2 linked regions of the Canis lupus familiaris genome follow. The protein of the gene in region 1 purifies or fractionates together with the protein of each later gene. This does not show direct contact. Links are inferred from orthologs where the notes say so. Each region holds a gene or a part of one and is shown on either strand. Other genes may lie near its edges.

Region 1 (3,645 bases):
CGCCCAGTACCTCGGATCATGCGGAACATGTTGTCAAAGCTGCAGATTGCCTGCGACAACGCTGTGTTTGGCTGTAGTGCTGTTGTCCGGCTTGACAACCTCATGTCTCACCTCAGCGACTGTGAGCACAACCCCAAACGGCCTGTGACCTGTGAGCAGGGCTGCGGGTGAGATTACTTCCCTTCCTCTGCCCTGCACAGATGAGGGCCTTCTGGTTGATGACCACCCTTCCCGCACCCACACTCCCTGTCCCCAGTCCCCCATCTCCAGAGCCCCTGCTCACCAGCTCGGGAGCTCTCCGAGCGTGAATGTATGCAATGAGCGTCCTTGGCCTCCCTGGCTCCCCGCCCTAAGATCTGACTTCGGTGATGCTTTTTCAACTAGGATCTTTTTGCTCTTGTTTGAATGAAAGAGAGGAGGAAGCAGGTCCCAATCTGCGTGCTAGAACTAAGGGATGACTCCCTCTGTTCTTCCCCGTCAGCCCAGTACTCCTTTTTCTTTGTCACTATGACTGCTCTAATTTCGAGGCTTCTCATAGTTCCTTGCGCCTTGTTATTTTCTTTCTTTGGACTGTGAAATATTTGATTAAATGCTGCTGTCTAGCTAGGGCTGTGAATCTAGGGCTGCTCAGAAGGAATGGGTACATAGGCAGAATCTGTAGGAAGAAAGGAGAGCTGTGTGGCAGATAAAACACTCTTAGAAAGTGCAAGAGGCCCAGAGAAGGTAGAGAGCAAAGGAGCATGGGGGGCGGGGGCACGGGCGGGGCTGCTGGGGAGAAGGAAGTGAAGGGAATAAATAAGAGGGAGGCCTGAATGTTAGACACCTGGGCTAGGAGAAAAGCCTGTCGGCATCTCCTGCCTTCGCCCACGTGACCCATTGAATGCCCCTGTTCTGCTTTCCTCCCCACTCCGGGTGGCAGCCTGGAGATGCCCAAAGATGAGCTGCCAAACCACAACTGCATTAAGCACCTGCGCTCCGTGGTACAGCAGCAGCAGACACGCATCGCTGAGCTGGAGAAGACCTCAGCTGAGCACAAGCACCAGCTGGCGGAGCAGGTAGGGCCCAGAGATCATTGAGAGAACCTGCCTCTCATGTGCAGGTAACTGTGGACAACTGTGTGTGTGTGTGTGTGTGTGTGTGTGTGTGTGTGTGTGTGTGTGTGTGTGTGTGTACATGCCACGTGTGTGTGCAGATGACGGGGTAAGAAGCACCCGTGTGAGCAGGTGGGTCTGTGCCTGTGCTCGTGTGTCTGTGTGAACAGATGCTCCGCCTGTGGCTTGGTTGGGAATCGGATGGGAGCTCTTCTCCTTCTCCATCCCGTCAATGTTACTCATTCACCTAACATTTATTAAATGCCCCCTCTAAGAAGGTCCCCGCCAAGCACTCGGGTTACACTAGGAATGAGACAGTCCCATCCCTGTCTTTGTAAAGCTTACAGGTCTGGTTGTTCCTCGCATCTCTCAGCTGTCCTCATTCTAAGACACACTTTCGTCTTCCATTTGTTGTCTACCCTAACCGTCCTCTCTGATTCTCCTTCCCACCCACAGAAGCGAGATATCCAGCTGTTAAAGGCATACATGCGTGCAATCCGCAGTGTCAACCCCAACCTTCAGAACCTGGAGGAGACCATTGAATACAATGAGATCCTAGAGTGAGTGTCACTCAGGACATGGAGTCACTTGCTCCACGTCCTGGCACTGAGCCCTGAAAGGAGGAAGAGCCGGGGAGTGGCAGAAGGAGGGTAGTAAGAGGGCTGGGCTGGGGCCACGGCGTTTCAGATAATTGGGATGAAGGACAGGAAGAGAACTTTCAGCACCACTATAGGATCTTAAATTCTTTTGGGTGGATTGAAGGGAAAGCTTACCCAAGGATTCAATTCATCTGGACTTAAGTGAGTATGCACACGTACAAAGCCATGTTAAAGGCTGTGGGGAAAAAAAAGGCTGTGGAGTGCTGGGAGGGCCAAGAAGAAGGAAATACTGTCCTTATTGTCAGGTAGCTTACAACCCAGAGGAGTGAGTGAGTGCAAATCCAGGAGAGTGATCTAAAATGCAGCATAAACAAGCAAAGTCTAAAATCTGTTTCAGTGCTGGGGTTGTGTACGATTCACAGACTAAATTCTTAGTGTGAATCAGTATATTATATAATGCAAATGGTGCTGTGTGGGACACAGTATACAGGAATAATTGCTTCATCCGATAAACATTTACTGAGCACTTAGTACATGCCAGGCACGTATGTTCTATGTATTGGGGTTTCTAAGAAAGATGACAGGAACTCTTCACTTGTAGAGTTTAATCTGCTGAGTGACATGTTGGGACTCCTAGGGGACCAGCTAGAAAGATGTGGAGTTTCTGAACCAGTGATGGAAAAAGGAAAATGGAAGGTCAGGGTTGAGCTGAGCGCAGAGCAGGAGAAAAAGCCAATGCAGAGAAGGGGAATGAGCTGGAATGACCACCTCTAATCCCCTCCACACAGGTGGGTGAACTCCCTGCAGCCAGCCAGAGTGACCCGCTGGGGAGGGATGATCTCAACCCCAGATGCTGTACTCCAGGCTGTAATCAAGCGCTCCCTGGTGGAGAGTGGCTGTCCTGCCTCTATTGTCAACGAGCTGATTGAAAATGCCCACGAGCGTAGCTGGCCCCAGGGTCTGGCCACCCTAGAGACCAGACAGATGAACCGGCGCTACTATGAGAACTACGTGGCCAAGCGTATCCCTGGCAAGCAGGCTGTTGTCGTGATGGCCTGTGAGAACCAGCACATGGGTGATGACATGGTGCAGGAACCAGGGCTTGTCATGATATTTGCGCACGGCGTGGAAGAGATATAGGAGATCTCGACGGGCTAGCAGGAAGAGATGGCAATCAGAAAACCCATCACTCCAGCAGCTGGTCCCTGAGTCCTCCCTACTATTCATAGTACCGTGGCTTACACATGGGCCACACGTTTCCCTACTCTTCTGGCACTGAAGGGCCCAGGGCACTTTGCTCAACCTTTCAGGTGGGAAACCCAGATTCCTTCCTTTTGCCTGATTTCTTCCCCTAAGATGTCTGTAAATTTTCAGTCAGTTTGGGAAAGTCCCCACCTCTATATCTGTTTTCCTGCCTAGGGTCCCTGGTTCTAGATATTTTTAGAAAGCACAAAGAATTCATTTTCTCTAGAGGATCAGGGTGGAGTGAGGAATATCTAATCGTTCCCCCTCCTCCAAAACCAGGGAATCGGAGCAGGCAGGCTGGTTGACACTAAACAGCATGAGAGGGCAGCTCTGGGGAGCAGACATCCTGAAGAAATGGTAGGGATGGAATCAAAAACCCTAGAAATTAGCAATGAGGCCAGTAACTGGCCCCCTTAGGGGAAGACTGGACCTCTGTGCCAAGCAATATCCTGTCCGGCCCACCTTACAGGTGTAGGCTCCTGCTGGTTCTGCAGGTGTGCAGGTTGGGATGCTGAAAATTTCTAGGTGACTCTTCTTTCCTACATTTTTTCATAACTAGGGAATGACAGGGTTGGGGGTAGGGGATTAGTCTGTTGGGGTGGATGTGCTCAGCAAGAAGCAGCTCTCTGGCTTTTGCTGAAATCAGGTAGGCACTGCCTCTGGCATGGGCTGTAATAGTTCATAGACCCTCTCCAGCCCTGTGATTGTAA
Region 2 (3,645 bases), on another chromosome or scaffold:
AGGTGGGGACTTGGATTAAGTCAGTGGTTCTCACCTTCTGGGATGGGAGTGAGAGGTGGAGGGATGGGGAAGCATGTATTCAAACACCTGGAAGCATCCTCAAAAAATACTCGTTGAGCTTGAAAAGTCAAAAGTAACCTAAGTTATGCACTACTAATATAAATCACCCCTCTCATGGGAGGAGTGTTCAGCAGATTCTTGCATCTAACTGAGTGACTTCTAAAATTTATTTTTTTTTTCATTTAAAAAGGATTTTTTTTCTGAGAGAGAATCTCAAGCAGACTCCCCACTAAGTGCATGGTAGGGGGTGTGGCAGGATCTGATCCCAGACCCTGAGATCATTACCTGAGCTGAAATCAAGAGTGGATCGCTTAACTAACTGAGCCACTCAGGCGTGCCCTGAGTGACTTTTTTAAACATCAAGAAACTTTAGTAAAAATGATTAACCTTAACAAAAATTAGTAACCTTTCCTTAAGTTCCCTTCATAGGACTTGTGCCATTTTGCATTCTTCCCAGTGATATAGGACTTTTCCTGCTTCTCCATAACTTCCGCAATAGAATGCATTGTCAGATGATTGAATTTTTGCCAATCTGATAGGTGAGAAATGGTATCAGGGTGTAGTTTTAATTTGCATTTCTCCATCTTGAATAGGGTTGAACATCTTCCTATGGTTATAAGCCATTTACCTTTCTTTTCCTGTGAACAGTTTTTCATATCTCTAAGACATTTTAATATAGGTTTGTTGGCCTTTTGTTTTCTATTTTATGAAGCTCTTTTTTTTTTTTTTTTTTAAAGATTTTATTTATTTATTCATGATAGTCACAGAGAGAGAGAGAGAGGCAGAGACACAGGCAGAGGGAGAAGCAGGCTCCATGCACCGGGAGCCCGACGCGGGACTCGATCCCGGGTCTCCAGGATCGCGCCCTGGGCCAAAGGCAGGCGCCAAACCGCTGCGCCACCCAGGGATCCCTATGAAGCTCTTTATGTATTTAGGATATTAACCCTTTGTCAGTGCAATAAACTGCAATTTTTTCCCCGGTATTGTTTATACTTTTACTTTCCTATGGTACGTTTTTTTCATGTAGAATTTGCTTATCAGGGATCCCTGGGTGGCGCAGCGGTTTAGCTCCTGCCTTTGGCCCAGGGCGCGATCCTGGAGACCCGGGATCAAATCCCACATCGGGCTCCCGGTGCATGGAGCCTGCTTCTCCCTCTGCCTGTGTCTCTGCCTCTCTCTCTCTCTCTCTGTGTGACTATCATAAATAAATAAAAGTTAAAAAAAAATAATTTGCTTATCTAATTAAAAGTATCCATTTCTAAAAAAAATCAATTTCTTTGCATATCAATTCTGGATTTCTGAATTATGATTATTATTGCGTTATTTTGCATGAAAACTTACAATTTAAATAGTGAAAAATTGAGCAGTCCCTCCTGTGTAATTATGATGTGTTCTACCCATATGCATTTTTAATTTTAATTTTAGTTATTTTTTTTGCATTTTGTTTATTAGTATGCATTCCAAGTTAAAGTCTATGAGGACAGGATTCCCCCTGAAATGAAGATTTGCCTGCTTATGGAAGAGGCCCCTTGGGAATAATGCCACCAAGGATCTTCAGAGCAATTATACCAGTGGCCTCAGCTAATCCTGTGGGGATCTCTGGAGCTGGGAAAGCTACTTATAGTTGTTTTGAATTGAGGCAGGGAGGCATGGACCAGTCATTGCATGTGGGCACCCCTATGGAGGGCACATGACCTTGAATGAGGTGGCTGTCCTCAGCCAATGGCATCACTGGGAGGGGACTCATCTTTGAGGTCTTGTTTAGGGGAACACGCACCCCAGTTCTTAGGAGGCAGGGGATCTGGCTGGAGTGGCACAGCATCTTCCCCCGGGTACCCTCTCTGGCTTGATCACTGCTGTGTTCTCTACGCCTAGTTGCACCCGGCACATAATAGGTACTCAGGAAGTCTTTGGTGAGAGAATGAAAGGCACAGAAGAATAGAAACCCAGATTTCTGGGTCTTGGACCAGGCCAACTGGATCTTAATGTAGGGGTGCAGGGGCAGGGGGAGAACCCTGGGCAGGTGTGATCAGGGTCCTTTCTTCACATGCTTCTGTCCCGCTGGGTGTTCTAGAAGGCCCCTTTGGCTCACTGGTTGGTGCTGGTGAAGGCTTGGATGTGGCTGGGCTAGGCTGGGCAAGGAGGGGGCCCTCAGTGGAACTCTAGGCACCTTGACTACTCTATGATGCACATCACCCACATGAGCTTTCTGTTTTGTTTGTATGTTTTAATTTCTTTCTAGCATTCCTTGAAGAAAAGAGGAACCCGCTCCCTGGGGAAGACAGACAAGAAGCCTTCGGTGCAGGTATTTCCTGACGGTCCCCATGGCCCCCAGGGCAGCCCCCACAGGCAGGTTTGAATCTGAAGGGCCGAGGCCTAACTCCAAGTGGTCTGGGGGGTCCCTGGAGGTGCCCACTCTTCCCCAGCCTCAACCCCACCCTCTTTCATTTTCTTAGCTTCGATACTCACCTCACTTCCCAAAACCATGCCCGGAGCCCATGGTTCCCATCCTGACAGATAAAGTGCTATATATAGATGTAGCACAGGTCAGGCATAGAGTACAGTTAGCCTCAAGTGGCCCTGGATTGTCAGGGTGCTAGGCACTTCTTGTGCATTATTTCATTTAATCTTCCCTATGGCTCTATGAGGAAGTGATTTTATTGCACCGTTTTACAAATGAGGACACCCTAGTAGGAATGGAAGTCGTAGTAGCAGCAACAGTTGCCTGGCAGGATATCACCTACTCTAGAAAGCCCGCCTGGACTTCCCAGGCTGTACTATGCTCCATCTTTGCTGCAATGTCAAGGAGGTATCCTTCTCTCCTTCCCCTGCTCCTTGAGAGTCAGAGCCTAGTTGGATTCATTGCCCTACCCCCAGCACATAGTTATTGCTCCCCAAAATGCTGTGGCTGGTACTGAGCCTCGCGATGCTAACCTTCCTGGATCATGTCTGTCTCTGTGCCCATCGGGCCCCAGGAGGACAGTGCAGACCTGAAGTGCCAGCTGCACTTTGCAAAGGAGGAGTCAGCCCTCATGTGCAAGAAGCTCACCAAGCTCGCCAAGGAGAACGACAGCATGAAAGAGGAGCTGCTCAAGTACCGCTCCCTCTACGGTGACCTGGACAGCGCTCTGTCCGCCGAGGAGCTGGCCGATGCGCCTCACTCTCGGGAGACCGAGCTGAAGGTACATCTGAAGCTGGTGGAGGAGGAAGCTAACCTGTTGAGCCGCCGCATCGTGGAGCTGGAGGTAGAAAACCGAGGCCTGCGGGCAGAGATGGACGACATGAAGGATCACGGCGGTGGCTGCGGAGGTGCGGAGGCGCGCCTGGCCTTCTCTACACTGGGTGGCAGTGAGTGCGGCGAGAGCCTGGCGGAGCTTCGGCGACACTTGCAGTTTGTGGAGGAGGAGGCTGAGCTGCTCCGACGCTCCTCGGCAGAGCTGGAGGACCAGAACAAGCTGCTGCTGACCGAGCTGGCCAAGTACCGCTCAGAGCACGAGCTGGACGTGACGCTGTCGGAAGACAGCTGCTCTGTGCTCAGTGAGCCCTCGCAGGAGGAGCTGGCAGCTGCCAAGCTGCAGATTGGGG

Evidence for each region.
Region 2: the proteins of RNF41 (region 1) and SOGA1 purify together in Homo sapiens (affinity purification with mass spectrometry; 3 studies listed by BioGRID and IntAct, with this or other methods). This does not show direct contact. The link is inferred for Canis lupus familiaris from reciprocal best matches to the Homo sapiens genes RNF41 and MTCL2.

The regions. Positions count from the first base shown.
Region 1 is NC_049231.1:867,034-870,678, reverse strand, and holds part of RNF41 (E3 ubiquitin-protein ligase NRDP1), read left to right. Parts: coding exon 1-167; intron 168-919; coding exon 920-1,055; intron 1,056-1,547; coding exon 1,548-1,651; intron 1,652-2,478; coding exon 2,479-2,830; 3' UTR 2,831-3,645. UniProt on the Homo sapiens protein: Acts as E3 ubiquitin-protein ligase and regulates the degradation of target proteins. Polyubiquitinates MYD88. Negatively regulates MYD88-dependent production of pro-inflammatory cytokines.
Region 2 is NC_049245.1:26,124,228-26,127,872, reverse strand, and holds part of SOGA1 (protein SOGA1), read left to right. Parts: intron 1-2,302; coding exon 2,303-2,365; intron 2,366-3,035; coding exon 3,036-3,645. UniProt on the Homo sapiens protein: Microtubule-associated factor that enables integration of the centrosomal and Golgi-associated microtubules on the Golgi membrane, supporting directional migration. Preferentially acts on the perinuclear microtubules accumulated around the Golgi.